3 linked regions of the Caenorhabditis elegans genome follow. The protein of the gene in region 1 interacts with the protein of each later gene in a pairwise test. Each region holds a gene or a part of one and is shown in the gene's direction. Other genes may lie near its edges. The genes, in order: atg-4.1, lgg-1 and lgg-2.

What was found.
Region 2: the proteins of atg-4.1 (region 1) and lgg-1 interact in binary tests that used the Caenorhabditis elegans proteins (3 or more experiments, as listed by UniProt).
Region 3: the proteins of atg-4.1 (region 1) and lgg-2 interact in binary tests that used the Caenorhabditis elegans proteins (3 or more experiments, as listed by UniProt).

Annotation. Positions count from the first base shown.
Region 1 is NC_003279.8:13,536,564-13,544,194, reverse strand, and holds atg-4.1 (Cysteine protease atg-4.1), read left to right. Parts: upstream 1-1,799; coding exon 1,800-2,025; intron 2,026-2,076; coding exon 2,077-2,148; intron 2,149-2,750; coding exon 2,751-2,806; intron 2,807-2,858; coding exon 2,859-3,000; intron 3,001-3,422; exon of another isoform or gene 3,423-3,482; intron 3,483-3,662; coding exon 3,663-3,866; intron 3,867-5,598; coding exon 5,599-6,225; intron 6,226-6,941; coding exon 6,942-7,060; downstream 7,061-7,631. Other genes in the region: aex-6 (small monomeric GTPase), read left to right, coding at 1-39, 175-287, 343-467, 743-807; Y87G2A.2 (Acyl-coenzyme A thioesterase 8), read right to left, coding at 7,221-7,281. UniProt on the Caenorhabditis elegans protein: Cysteine protease required for autophagy. Cleaves the C-terminal amino acid of ATG8 family proteins lgg-1, to reveal a C-terminal glycine.
Region 2 is NC_003280.10:6,346,402-6,349,769, reverse strand, and holds lgg-1 (Protein lgg-1), read left to right. Parts: upstream 1-2,050; 5' UTR 2,051-2,083; coding exon 2,084-2,371; intron 2,372-2,423; coding exon 2,424-2,507; 3' UTR 2,508-2,810; downstream 2,811-3,368. Other genes in the region: putative RING finger protein C32D5.10, read left to right, coding at 1-14, 63-115, 163-200. UniProt on the Caenorhabditis elegans protein: Ubiquitin-like modifier involved in the formation of autophagosomal vacuoles (autophagosomes). When lipidated mediates tethering between adjacent membranes and stimulates membrane fusion during autophagy. Recruits lipidated-lgg-2 to maturing autophagosomes.
Region 3 is NC_003282.8:10,933,557-10,937,561, reverse strand, and holds lgg-2 (Protein lgg-2), read left to right. Parts: upstream 1-1,658; 5' UTR 1,659-1,700; coding exon 1,701-1,806; intron 1,807-2,424; coding exon 2,425-2,593; intron 2,594-2,644; coding exon 2,645-2,798; 3' UTR 2,799-3,366; downstream 3,367-4,005. Other genes in the region: Protein adenylyltransferase fic-1, read right to left, coding at 12-90; lsm-7 (U6 snRNA-associated Sm-like protein LSm7), read right to left, coding at 3,452-3,557, 3,646-3,754, 3,882-3,975. UniProt on the Caenorhabditis elegans protein: Ubiquitin-like modifier involved in the formation of autophagosomal vacuoles (autophagosomes). When lipidated mediates tethering between adjacent membranes and stimulates membrane fusion. Less effective at promoting membrane fusion than lgg-1.

The DNA of each region.
Region 1 (7,631 bases):
TCATTTCTCAATATTCGAGACTGGCTATCACAATTGAAGGTATATTAGCGATTTTTTTTTCAGAAAATCTAAAAATTATTGATTTTTCTGAAAATTTTACTTTAAATTTGGCTGAAAAAGCTGAAAAAAAAACAATTTTTTTCAAAAAACCCCGAAAAATATTAAAATTTCCAGGTACATGCCTATTGCGAGCAACCTGACATTATCATATGCGGTAACAAAGCAGACCTCGAAAATCGGCGTCAAGTCAGTACCGCCCGTGCAAAGCAGCTGGCTGATCAATTGGGGTACGTGGCCGAATTTTTTCTCTTGTTTTTCTGCACGGCCACCACGTAATTTCAGGCTGCCGTACTTCGAGACGTCCGCCTGCACATCTACCAATGTGGAGAAATCTGTGGATTGTCTACTCGATTTGGTTATGCAAAGAATTCAACAATCTGTTGAGACGTCGTCTCTTCCGTTGTCAGGTATAGACTACAAAAACTACAAACTACAATAGATATTTGTACTCTATAGTCGTTGCCATTACCAAAAATAATAGTAACTACAAACTACAATTTCGGCGAAGCCTCAACCAAACTACAAAAATTGTTAAAATGATTGGTTGAGGCTACGTGAAAAGTGTAGTTTGTAGTCTCTTGTTTTTTTCACGCGAATTTTCTACTACAAACTACAATGTGTTTTGTAGTTTGTAGTGTGAGCCTCAACCACATTTTCACTACAAAACTAATTTTTTTTTCAGAATGCCGCGGAGTCAGCTTGGACGGAGACCCATCGGCCGCTTCTTCCTATTGTGCAAATTGCTGATTATCGATTTTAAGGTCTTCTAACAAAATGAAATAGATAGAATTTTATGATTTTGCATAATAATCCCTCGTTTTTTTTCCTTTTTTTCCTTAATTTTTAGTGATTTTTTCCCAATTAAATTTCTAAGCAGAGACTTTATTTATATATTTTTTCCAATTTTTCTTTTCTCTCAACACACACCCTGTCCTCATATCGTCTAAAGCTTTTTATTGATAAATTTGACGTTTTTCCTTTAAAAAAATTCCGCCTAAACTTATCGCCGATCTCTTTGTATCGATTTTGTAAAAAAAATTTTAATGAAAATAAATAATTTAAATTAATAACTTATTTGAAAAATGAATTGCAAAAATTGAAAAAAAAAATTAAATAAAAAATGTCCGTAAAAACGTACCGTAACTTTTAAAGGCGCATAGCAAAAATTAGTAAGCGGGTTTTAGAACGACTTGCAGGTTTTTGCAATTTCAGCAGTTTTCTGGTGGAAATGTCAACTGATAAGCAAGAAATAATTGATTTTTCTGATTATTAAACCGAAAAATTTGTAAAATTTTCATTATCATCAATTGTTTAGCCAATTTTCAACGTTTAGAATTAAAAATTCACCAAAACCAAAGCTACAGTAACATTTTAAGGCGCATTGCTCGAAATTTATTTCGGGTCCTGCCACGGATCAGTTTATTGATTTTTAAAAACATTTTTGATAATTTTGCACAAAAAAGCTATTTAACATTACTTTTACCCAAACTAATCGAAAATTGTGTTTAAAATCTAAATTTACACTAGAATTTCGCAATTTTGTGTTAAAAAATAACAATTTTTCGAGAAAATTCGATTAAAAGTAAATATTGATTGTTCTTGCTCATTCCCACCGGGGATATTCCCGTGAGCAATCCTCTGACCCCTTATAATTTCATATTATCTTGACTGCCTCCATTCACAGTGTCTGCAAACACCTCTTCCATCCGCCACACAACCCCTTCGTCTCTTCGTCTCACATGTTATCGATTTTACCGTTGGCGTACAGCAATTTCAGCCGAATTTTGCAATATTTCGAGCAGCTTCCCGTCGTCGACAAAATGACCGAAGAAATTCTGAAACAAGGCGTCGGAATTGTGGAAACCTCATTGACATTTGAGCCGCCTTTTTGTGAATCTTTTGAGCGAATTTCTATCGATAATTTCCCGATTTTTGCGCTCGGAAAGGAGATTTCAAAGGAAGATGGTTGGTTTTTAAGCGGGAAATTTGAAATTTCTTAGAGTTATTGAATTTTAGGAATCGAGGCAATGAAAAAGTACGTCACATCGAGATTTTGGTTCACTTATCGCAGAGATTTCTCCCCAATTGGTAGGTTTATCGATAAAAAAACAAGAAATTGGCAAAAATCGTGGCAAAAAACGCATATTTTAGTGAATTTTTCTCAAATTTCTGATTTTTTGTTAATTTTCCTGATATTTCGGTGTCTTTTTCTGAAAAAAAAACCCGTAACTTTTAAATATATCAAAAAATTAGTCATTCTCGTCATAAAATTCAGGGAAAATGGTGAGGCTCAGAGACTACAAACTACAAACTTGTTTGAGCCTCAACCAAAAAATCCACGTGGCAAAAAACGCATATTTTAATGAATTTTTCTCAAATTTCTGATTTTGTGTTAATTTTCCTGATATTTCGGTGTCTTTTTCTGAAAAAAAAAACCCGTAACTTTTAAATATATCAAAAAATTAGTAATTTTTTGCCATAAAATTCACGGAAAATGGTGAGGCTCAGAGACTACAAACTACAAACCGAGCTGAGCCTCAACCAAGGGCAAAAGTCTATATTTTAATGGATTTTCGGTCGAAAATTAGGTTTTTTTTGGTTTTCAGTCTATTTTTATGTGGGAAAAGGAAAAATTGGGGTTGAAAAAACACTAAAAATTAATATTTGCACTGAAAAATTCAAATTTCCAGGTGGCACAGGCCCTAGCACGGATCAAGGATGGGGTTGCATGCTGAGATGCGCACAGGTTGGATTAAAAATTACATTTTTCTTCGAAAAAAATCGCCCGAAAATTGCAGATGCTTCTCGGAGAAGTACTCCTTCGCCGTCACATTGGACGCCATTTTGAATGGGATATTGAGAAGACTTCAGAGATTTATGAAAAGATTTTACAAATGTTTTTCGACGAAAAAGACGCGCTTTACTCGATTCATCAAATTGGTATGCGGAAAATTACTGAAAAATTAGGAGAAAATCGTTAAAAACCCTATCGAAATTGGTTGAGGCGCCACAGGCTACAAACTACAACTTTTTAGCCTCACCCAAATAAAATTTGCGATTTCTGAGGAATTTTCCATCAAATTTTGCGAATTTTTGATCTAAATTTCAATTATTAGAGTAAAATTTGAATTTAAAAAAGCAAAAATGTTTGAAAACTGCATTAATTTTGTATTTTCGTCCACTACAGACTACAAAATTGGTTTAGCCTCTACCAAATGAATCGGTTGAGGCTAAGACTACAAACTACAACTTTTTAGCCTCACCCAATGCATTTTTCATCACATTTTTTGAATTTTTAATTAAATTTTGCAAATTTTTGATCAACATTTCAATTGTTAGAGTAAAATTTTAGTTAAAAAATCGAATATATATATATATATATATATATATATATATATATATATATATATATATATATAGCTTAGCCTCAACCTACTGCATTGGTTGAGGCTGAGACTACAAACTACAACTTTTTAGCCTCACTCGACGAATTTTCCATCAAATTTTGCGAATTTTTGATCAAATTTTCAATTATAGGAGTAAAAAAATTTTCAATAATAAATTTTATCATTTTCTTCCACTACAAACTACACAATTTCCAGCTCAAATGGGTGTTACTGAAGGAAAAGAAGTCTCAAAATGGTTTGGACCAAATACGGCGGCTCAAGTAATGAAGAAGCTCACAATTTTCGATGATTGGTCGAATATCGCCGTCCACGTGGCACTTGATAATATTCTTGTGAAAGAGGATGCTATTACAATGGCAACATCATATCCAAGTGAAGATGCTGTTAAACTTATTATGGGTAAGAAGGGACTACAAACTACAAAGTGCTACAACTTTTTTAAAATTATAGAAAATGTGTGCGGAAAATCAAGGAAAATATAAATTTTAATGCAAAAAAAAAATCTAAAAATTATCAGAAATTTTAGCTGACATTTTTGTTTTGTTTTCTTAGAAAAAAAACCAAAAAATTTCTTTAAAAAATTAAATTCAAATTTTTGGATTAAAATAATGCCAAATATCGCTAAAAAATTTCCTTTTTCGATTTTCTTTTTTAAAAAACCGAAAAATCTAAAAATATACGCATTTCTCTAAAAAAAAAATCCCGAAAAACCGTATAAAATCGAAAATTTCTTTAAAAAAATTAGATTTTATCGGAAAAGGGCCTTTTTTTCAATGGTTTATTTTTGAATAAACCAAAAAATACTTTGAAAATATTTTAGATTCATCTGAAAATAATTTTTGAAAAAAAAACAAAAAGCTGAAAAAATGTCTCCAAAAAATTTTCTTTAATTTTTTAAAAATTCCTCTCAAAATCTGGTATTTATTGTTAGGGGACAAGAGAAAAAATTAAAATTTTTTTTTTCAATTTCTGGATGATTTTCAGAGTTTTTTTTTCGATTTTTAGTAACGTTTATTTTAAAAATAATAATTTTACGCCTCGTCATGAAGAAAATCCAAAAAATAAACCTAAAACATCATATTTTCGAGGTTTTCTGGAAAAAACTAAACAAGAAGTATTTATTACAACGCTAAAAAAATTACATCCCCATAAAATTTTTTGATGATTTTTTAGTTTTTCCCTAAAAAATGGTTAAAAAGCATAATTTTTGCTGAAAAATCAGTCAAAACTTCCCTAATCTTTCAGAAAATAGCCTCGTCCACAAAAAACCAACTAAAATGATTGTATTTCTCGAAAAAATTTAATTTTTCGATTTTCGGTAAAAAATCAGACGTTTTTTGAAAATGCCTGTATTTTTCGAATTTTTAGGTGAAAAAATCGAAACAAATTGGATTTTGCAGCAAAATATCTGAAACAGTTGAAAAATTCGCCATTTTTTCCAAAAAATAAAAATTAAAAAAAGGGCCTAGTAACTCTCGAAAGTCGAAAATGCTAGGTTTATTTTTAAAAAAAAATTTTTCTCACGCCTCGTATTAAATAAAAATCCAACAAATAGATCTAAAACGTCATGTTTTGGAGGTTTTCTGGATAATTTTCTGAAAAAACTAAACAAGAAGTATTTTTGAAAACATAAAAAAAAATTACATCCCCATAAAATTTTTTTGATGATGTTTCGATTTTCCATTTTTTTTTAACAAAAAACCACATGTCTGACGTTTTTTAAAAAAATCAGACGTTTTTTGGAAAAATCTCATATTTTTCCGATTTTCAGAAGAAAAAATCGAAAAAATTTGGATTTTACCGTAAAATATCTGAAACAGATTAAATTTTTTAAATTTTTTAATCTGTTTCAGATATTTTACGGTAAAATCCTAATTTTTTCGATTTTTTCATCAGAAAATCGGAAAAATATGAGATTTTTTCAAAAAACGTCTGATTTTTTTTAAAAAACGTCAGACATGTGGTTTTTTGTTAAAAAAAAATGGAAAATCGAAACATCATCAAAAAAATTTTATGGGGATGTAATTTTTTTTAATGTTTTCAAAAATACTTCTTGTTTAGTTTTTCGCCATTTTTTCCAAAAAAATTTTTTTTTTCGAATTTACCATTAACCATTAACTCTTTTTTTCAGAAAACGGCCTCGTCGACAAAAACCGTCTCTCCCTCTCCCCAGGCAATATAATCCCCGAATGGCGTCCCCTTCTCCTAATGATTCCCCTACGTTTGGGTCTCACCACGATCAATCCATGCTATTTATCAGCAATTCAAGAATTCTTTAAAATCCCACAATGCGTCGGAATTATCGGTGGTCGACCAAATCATGCTCTATACTTTGTTGGAATGTCTGGTTCGAAACTTTTCTATCTGGATCCTCACTATTGCCGGCCAAAAACTGAATCGACGGCCAAAATGTATGCAGAAAAAGATTCCACGGCCACCACCGATGACGTAGGCTTCAGTCATTTGGAAGAACTTGTTCCATTACCATCTCAAACCGCAGACGTTTACACGAAAATGGATGATTCCACGTATCATTGTCAAATGATGTTATGGATTGAGTATGAGAATGTGGATCCTTCACTCGCGTTGGCAATGTTTTGTGAGACACGTGACGAGTTTGAAAATCTGTGCGAGACCCTTCAAAAAACCACATTGCCTGCCTCCCAACCGCCCATGTTCGAGTTTTTGCAGCGGCGGCCCAAGTATTTGCCAAAATTCGAACCATACACTGGCGTTTCGATGAAGATTGAGATGAAGGGTGTGTAGTTTGTAGTTTTTGTAGTCTTTGTAGTTTCTAGTTTAAAGCTTGTAGTGTATTTATTTATTAGTATTAAATTACAAAAATATATATATATATATATATAGCATGTGAGTATTTGGAAAATGTCGGCTTGTGTAGTTTATAGTTTGTAGTTTGTAGTTTTTGTAGTCTGTAGTCTTTGTAGTTTATAGCTTCTATTTTAGAGCTTGTAGTTTGTAGTCTGTAGTTTATAGCCTATAGTGTATTTATTTATTAGCATTGAATTTCGAAAATATATAGCATGTGTGAGTATTTGGAATATGTCGGTTTGTGTAGTTTATAGTTTGTAGTTTGTAGTTTTTAGTTTGTTGTTAATAAATAATCAACCTTAGATTTTAAATAAATAATGAGAAGTGTAGTTTATAGTTTGTAGTCAAGTTTAGTTTGAAATCTAGACTTCAAAAATTCTCGATTTGTAGTTTGTAGTTTGAAGTCCCGATATGGAAGTTGATATTTAAATTGCGAAATAGCTTAATTGTAGTTTATAGTTTGTAGCCTAACTTTTAAATTTAATTTTTTTTGTAGTTTTTAGTCTAAAATTCGAATTTTTTTCTCTTGTAGTTTGTAGTTTCCGTAATGTTTGTGCCTAATATTTCTCTGAAAATTTTGAATTTTTCAAATTTTTTGTAGTTTGTAGTCTCTGAGCCTCACCCAAAAATCTACTTATTTTACAGAATTCGATGACATCGGCGCCGCCAACGTGAAAATCGATGATGATTTTGAAGTTTTGGATGTTCATACAGAAGAAGAAGACGCAGACGAAGACAATGATGATGACGTGGCAAATGCCTAAGCCCCGCCCACTTTCCCTACCTTATCACGACGATTTTGTTTTGCTGGTTTTTGTAAAAAATTGTATTAAAAATTATGTTTTTTTTTGGTTTCTCAAATGTATTTTTAAAAAATTGTGAATGTGAAGATAATGTTTTATATTAAAAAATTCGATAAAAAATTTAAATTTTACTCGGCTGCACTTTGTAGATCAATGCCTCTTGTGATGTAGACATTATTAATCTGAAAATAGGATTTTTTTGAAAAATTCGATAATTTTTGAATTTTATATCGATTTTTCAGTGGAAAAAGTGAAATAAATTGTGCTTTTTATCGATTTTGTGAAGAAAAATTTGGAAAAATTAACTTTTCTTATCGATTTTTTAGCAATAAAATTTTGAATTTTCTCTACCCACGGATTTCTGGCTTCTTTCATAAATTGAAATGGAAGAGTTTGGGCCGAACTAGGCCATTTTGGCTTGGCGATATCTGGGATATATTTACGGCGCGTTGCGTGTCGCGTCGCGGCTCGATTTTAGCTGTAAAACTAAATGCATTTGTCCGTGTGGACTACACAACTTTCCCACGCGTTG
Region 2 (3,368 bases), on another chromosome or scaffold:
CCAAGCACTTCAAGGTGGGTTTGAAAAGATTTTATCGTGGATATGTAATATTCCAATTTCAGTGCTCCAGACATTTCGAAGTTCAAACCTGATGATATGTTACAGCTAGCAAGTTGTAAGTTTGTCATATTGCAGATCAAGTCTCATAACTAATTTTTACAGATCTCTCTCGAACTGGTGCACTTTCAAGGCGACAGTAAATCGACATTTGATCTCTGTTAAATCAATTAAAAAGGCGGATATCGACGAGTTTTCAAACTTTTTCCTAGGCATATCATAATTTTTTACAACTTTTTTACTTTTATTTTTTCTGACATTTCGATGTTTCGTAGTAGCAAGTTTCCAAATGTTCCATCCTGGGCTACAAGCGAACTTATTCGGCAATTTTTAGATTTTCGTTGTTTACGGTTCAAAGAAAAAAGCGTTTTTCATATTTTTATTGTTTCTCCATGTTAGCTATCATTTTTTATTTATTTATATTTATAGCTTTATTCTGATTATTGTACTTCTGTCCGTGTAAAACATTTCGTCACTATTGACTGTCTATAAATTTTTAACCTTTGGTTTATTGTTTGGTTATTTTTTTAATATTTTTTCTCGGTTTGCTTCCGGCAAATTTTTATCTTGTTCCTTTTTATATTTTTGCCTTTCTGATCGATTACATGGAGTGCACCCTAATGTCTTTAAGATCTTTTAATTGATTTGTTTTATATTGTCAGTTCTAGCGTTTTACCAGCTGGTCTTGAATGCCCTCTTCTAGTTCATTACATTCTACGTCACGGTGACAGCTGTGAATGTGGATGATGCTCTCATTGCTCCAACTCTTTATTTTAGAATTATGTCGCTAATGCACTTTCCACCTACATATTATTGTATGGATATAGTAGTTATATATCGTTTATTTCGTTTAGTTTTAGCATATTATGTTCCTTTAATAGCAAAACATACTCAATACCAACTGTTGTCTAGTTGTTATTCTAACCTTTTATCACTTTTGATCATTTCTAACGTTTAAAATTTCCTATCAAAAGAATCTAAGAACAAACAATCTGTCGATCGGCACCTGAAACCCCGATGATTCTACACCATGCTGCTCTACTTCTCTCAAACCATCCAATGTTTCCCTATACTCTCTTGCTCTCCTCTGCCTGCTGTCTCGTTTCGCCGCCGTATGACACAGTCACATGATGTTGAGTCGTGGTGTCTCGTCGTCTCCGCCCCTCTCTCATCTCTCTCTCTTTCTAGCTAGTGCCATTCGTCTTGGTGTGTTCAGTCTTGCCTCTCGCTCTTCTTTGCGACTTTCTGCCATTTCTTTCACTTTCTGGCGACGTCGGTAGCGACAGTACTTTTTTATTTAAAAGTTTGTAATTTTAGTTGGTTTGTTTAAAAAACCGGTTTCAAATCAAAATCTTTTTTAGATTTGAAATTTGAAATTAAGAAATGTTTCACAAGTTTGACTATTAAATGTACGGTTTAACAATTCTATCTAAAAATATTGCTAAATCATACCAAAATTATTTATTGAACGGTCATATTAATCTAGTTAATAGTTGATTACTAAAGTCTTTCAGAATTCAATTTTTTGGAACAATGCGCTAAGAATATTCGTAGAAACTGGTTATGGATACTAGTGAATATTGGATAAATGTTACTAATATATCGATCGACTTTCAGTCTTCCCAGAATTACAGTTTCCCCGACAACCTCTAAACAGCTGCATTGTACTTGTCCTGTTTCTCTGCATCTCAACAAAACCAGGCCAGACAAACATAGAAAATCAATAGGATGTCTCCTGCGTCTACGCGCTCTCATATGACCGATGTGCGCGCACACTCCCTCTCTCACTTGCACACGGGCCATTCTTGCTCATGCTCTTTTTGCCTTACTAGTACTCGTCGTCAATTTTATATAGATTTCGCAATGTGTTATCGAATCGGTCAATCTCTCAAAACCCATGTGATGTCACCTTCATTCACTCTCACTTGTTACACCTTTCTTCTCTCATGGTTCTTTTATGATTTTTCTGTGATTTAAAGTATTTTTATTCCAGTAACCTTCTCTTCACACTAACCTTCGAATCAAAATGAAGTGGGCTTACAAGGAGGAGAACAACTTTGAGAAGCGTCGTGCCGAAGGAGACAAGATCCGCAGAAAGTACCCAGACCGTATTCCAGTGATTGTTGAGAAAGCACCAAAGTCAAAGCTCCATGACTTGGATAAGAAGAAGTACTTGGTCCCATCCGATCTTACTGTTGGACAGTTCTACTTCCTCATCAGAAAACGCATCCAACTTCGTCCAGAAGATGCTCTGTTCTTCTTTGTCAACAATGTCATTCCACAAACCATGACCACAATGGGACAACTCTACCAGGTAACTAACCAGTCGTTTATTTTCATTTAATTAACCCTTTTCTTTATTACAGGACCATCACGAGGAAGACTTGTTCCTTTACATCGCCTACAGTGACGAAAGTGTGTATGGAGGAGAGGTCGAAAAGAAGGAATAAAGTGTCATGTATTATCCGCCGACGAATGTGTATACTTGTACAATGGAAATTTCATACTTCTAATGGAAACCCAAAGCCCCTTTAAAAAAATCTTCTCATTTTCTGTAATAATTCTGTATTTCCTTCACATTTTCTTCTCATTTTTCTCGTATGACGGTTCCGAGTAGTGACTTCTATTCAAACTATTGTCTACGAAGTTGCTCTTCTCCCCTCCCAGAAAATCATGTTTTCTCTCGGATTTTGATATTTTTTTGCTATTACTTTCAAATTTTTGATTCATGAATAAACGAAGAAGACACAAACAAATTCATGTTCATGCTCATCGTTATTTTCGGCCAGCGAATGGAATACCTCCAACAGTTAGCAATACACATTGCGAAATCACTTTTTCATCTGTATAGAATTGACGTCACATTTGTATTACGTAAACATCATTGTAGATTTCTGAACAAAGTATAGAGAAAAATGAGAATTTTATTTCGAAAATGGTGACACACTTTTGGCAAAAAGGCTCTTTGTATCCATTAGTCATCTGTCAAATGACAGTTTATTCTAGTTGTCATCGTCTGAAAATGTCATAAGAGGGCTCAAACGTTGACTTAGGAATCATTTTTGATTCGATTCTGGCATATTTTATCATTTTCGAGACACAATTTTGGTACTACCCATTTGCAGAAGTTTGAGATTTTCAATGCGAAAATACGGTAGCCGGTCTCGGCACGATGGAAACTTTTCAGCTACCGCACCCAAAAGTGTTTCGCAATTTTCACCTGTATCTGTTGTAATAGTTTCACTTAAAATTCCACATTTTTAAAGGAAAAACCGATACATTTTTGGAAAATTGTAGGAGATCATGAAAAA
Region 3 (4,005 bases), on another chromosome or scaffold:
CAAAAATGTACCATTTAATTTGGAAGGTCTTCGGGTTTTTTCCAAAAGATAGGAGAAATCATCGGAATGAGTTCGTCTTCGAACTGACATCACATTATTTAAAACTATCTGCAAAAAAACAAATTTTCCAGAACTTATTCATGCATTTGAAGCGAAAACAAGAAAAAAGATCTGCAAATTAATTTTGAGCATGATTCCACCTTTCGCTTCGAGACCAGAGTAAAAAAACGTTAATGCGCCTTTGAGTTACGGTAGTACTGATTAATGGTTTGAACACCAAATGCATTTTTTTTCGATTTTGGCATGTTTTCCTTCTTTTTTTTCAAGTTATATCCGAAAAACCTAATTTAAAAAACTGAATAATCTTTTATCTAAATATTAACCATATAAATATCGACATTCCACTCGATTTCACAAGAAATTTCTTCATCTTTGAAGTTCGTACGCGGAAAATGCTATTAAAGAAAAGAAAATAAACGAGACGCAGACAAATGCACACGGCGTGCGCAGTAACATATCGATTTTGAGACGTAAACATAATTGAGTTCACTAGTCATGAGAGTCTGTTTACTCGTACATCGATTTTTCACTTTTCTTTCTTTCCCCTCATCACTTATTGTTTTGCTCTTTCCATAGTTTCGTCCTCATCTCAAAACTTCTTTCGAAATTATTTAGATACCCGCATTTTCAACAACGGAAAATCTAAGGAAACCCTTAAAATGTCAAAAAAATATCGCAGATTGCCAATTTTTGCTGTGAAATCTTGATCATATTTCATCACTTCTCCCTTTTTCGAAAATCGCGTCAAAGATCTAAAGTTCCGAGAAAAAAGTTTGCAGAAAAAAACGTCAGTTGTTCTGATTGGGAGTAGTAGATTCAGACTGGAAGTTCTAGAGATCATCTGGTTCCCCTGCCCTTTATCTCTCCCTGCCACTATTTTCAAAGTACAAGCACTTTTTTTACGTAGACCGATATAAAAGAGTTGGCTGGTATAGATAAAATCTTTAGTTTTCCGTTAATTTAAACGGCCCATTTTAATATTAGAAATTTTCATTCATAAAACCAAGCATTTTCACACTAGAACATTAGTTGAGAAGTTTTCTAGGAAGTATTCAATTAAAACGTTTTCTCCTATAACTTTCTTAGTGTCGCCAACAAGTCTCGCTGTCATATTTATTTAATTCGTTGCCACTCATCGTTTCAAATTTCGCTATCATTTCATCTGTCTGACACTGCTTCGAACTTCTGTATTAGCTGGGAGAAGGGTCATAATACACACTCTCATCTTCTCTAACTCTATTCTTTCTTTTCCCCATCTATTCCTTCATCACATGATTCTTCTCTTCTCATCGTCTCTCCGTCTCGCGGTCATGTGTCCTCGACGCTCAGTCGATCTTGTGGTGTGAGAAAAGAGAGTAGCATCAATGAAGAGACACAGAGGACAAAGAGACATACAGCAAAAGAGCGTGTGTGCTGCCTACTGCCTCTGTCTCGATTTTTCCCTCTGTCCCATTCCCTTTCACCTGTCTTTTCGCTTCTTGATAAAAAAATTCTCACAAAAACATACAGTGTCCTTTAGCATCTCACACTCTAATTTCTCTTCTAAAATCAGTTTTCTCAACTTTTCAAATACCAGTTACCATTTTTCAAGTTTGCAGATCGAAAATCGGGTCTCAGCACGAAAAAGTGAAGAAGCGTTTATGCTAGCCACGCTTCAAAGTTACACACAAACAGCGATGAGCGGAAATCGGGGAGGATCTTACATTTCCGGAATCGTTCCATCGTTCAAGGAAAGAAGGCCATTCCGTAAGTTTTTTAAAATTCATTTACTAATCAAACAATTGTCATCAAAATAAAAATAGAGCTTCAAGTCTCACTTTAATTTTACTTTAACATCAAACATCTGGTTTTCATCCCAACCAATTCATTCCCAATCATTCCCACTTTTTTTTCCTTCACCCGTCCATTGTAAAAGGTCAGAGACGCAGAGGACAGACACCCCGCGTCATGCGTTTCAGCGAGAGAGCATGAGGAAACAAGAGACAATATGCAAGTGAGACATGTGAAAATCAGCTGATCTTGTGTGAATGAGTGACTATGTCAGTGGAGCAGCACCCATGGAACATTGCGTATTAATTGGGTGCTCTTCGTTGTATGAAAGAAAGAGATAGATGGACCTGAGAAACAAAGATCAATAGGGCAGGTGCAAGGGAAATAGGATTATAGGAAAATTTGGATCAATATTGATATTCTAGAGTTCAAAATATTGCCCACCATTCAAGATAACAACCAAAACTGAACGTACGCCAATCTTTAAATAGAAATATGAATTTTACGAGTGGAAAAGAGAAATCCAGAACTGAGGAACAACTTTTTTATTTTCAAATTTTCGAAAGAAAACCTTTTTAACCTATTCGATTTCAGATGAGCGTCAGAAAGATGTGGAAGAAATCCGCAGCCAACAACCGAACAAGGTTCCGGTAATTATCGAAAGATTTGATGGAGAACGCAGTTTACCACTTATGGATCGCTGCAAATTCCTAGTACCCGAGCATATAACCGTTGCCGAGCTCATGTCAATTGTTAGACGACGGTGAGCTATTCAACTGAGTTGTTTTTTCAAAATCATCCGTTTGCTTTTCAGCCTCCAACTTCATCCACAACAAGCATTCTTCCTGCTCGTCAATGAACGCTCAATGGTGTCAAATTCTATGAGCATGTCCAATTTGTACAGTCAAGAGCGTGATCCAGATGGCTTTGTGTATATGGTTTACACGTCTCAACCAGCATTTGGATAACACATCAAGAGCCGTTTTCCATCACAATTCTAATCAATTTTTAAATTTCCACCAACACCACTGATTGCCCAATGCAATCCTCACTGTAAAATGTTGTATTTTTAAATGTAAATACCTGAAAACCCATCATACTCAGGCGCCAACCATTTTTCTAGTTGCCTTTGCTAATTTCGCCCCTCGCAATTCCCCACCTCAAAACTTCCAGCTGAAATTTGTTTTACAAACGAAAAAAAAGAAACCCAAATTCGCTTACGTTTTCGTGTAGTCTTTATGTGTTCCCTCATAACTCTTTCTCCGCATTTTCCAGCCCGTTTCTTGAATTTCTTCATGTCTTCTTTTCACAACTGATCCTCTTTCAACAAAATTTAAACCGTTTACGATTCTGTGTACTTGGCTAGTCTCTAAAGCCCATAGGGACTATTTTCCTTACTGCCCTGAACATTGAAATTTACCGCTATGGACTTTCTGACTGCCTAGACGGATTCAATTCAAAATTATTACATCTTGTTCCATCGTTACTTTTCCAAATTCAATGTATCAAATGTTTTGTATGTAATAACAACTTTTTCGTCGTTTTTATCTGGAGAATGTTCATTCACAAGGAGATCACATACATATATAATAATAATAAGAGATGATGATGATATCAACGATTATTCTTCTTCCTGGGTTGCGAATGGATTGGCGATTTGCTCGAGTCCATCTGCTGGGCTAACTACTGTAATTGCTGTTCCGCGAGCCACAATAAGACCCAGTTGTCTTAAGATAAAAGATAAGATAAAATCGAAAATCTAGATTTAATTTGAAATCCAAGCTTTAAATCGATTTTTGGAAATCTATCAATTACCTTGTCTCATCACCGACGACCGAAGGATTTTGTGGATCACGGAGATACTCGCGGCAGTCATCAAGAACCATATTGAGCAACTGATCGAATCCTCGAAGCACGCCACTTGCTGAAATTTATACATTTTTATGGAGTGAAGTACAGCTTGTGTATGTTGGACGCTTTCATATTGTTTAAATAGTTTAATGACGGAATCTTATTGCTAGTGCACATCATTGTGCAAAAAAAAAACCAACCTTCACGTCCTCCTTGGAACTTGACGCGAATCTCTTTGTCGAGAAATCTGGTGAGATCAACGACAGACTCCTTCTTTCGTTTTCCTTCGTCTTTCTAAAATAATACAACAATTATAAATAACTT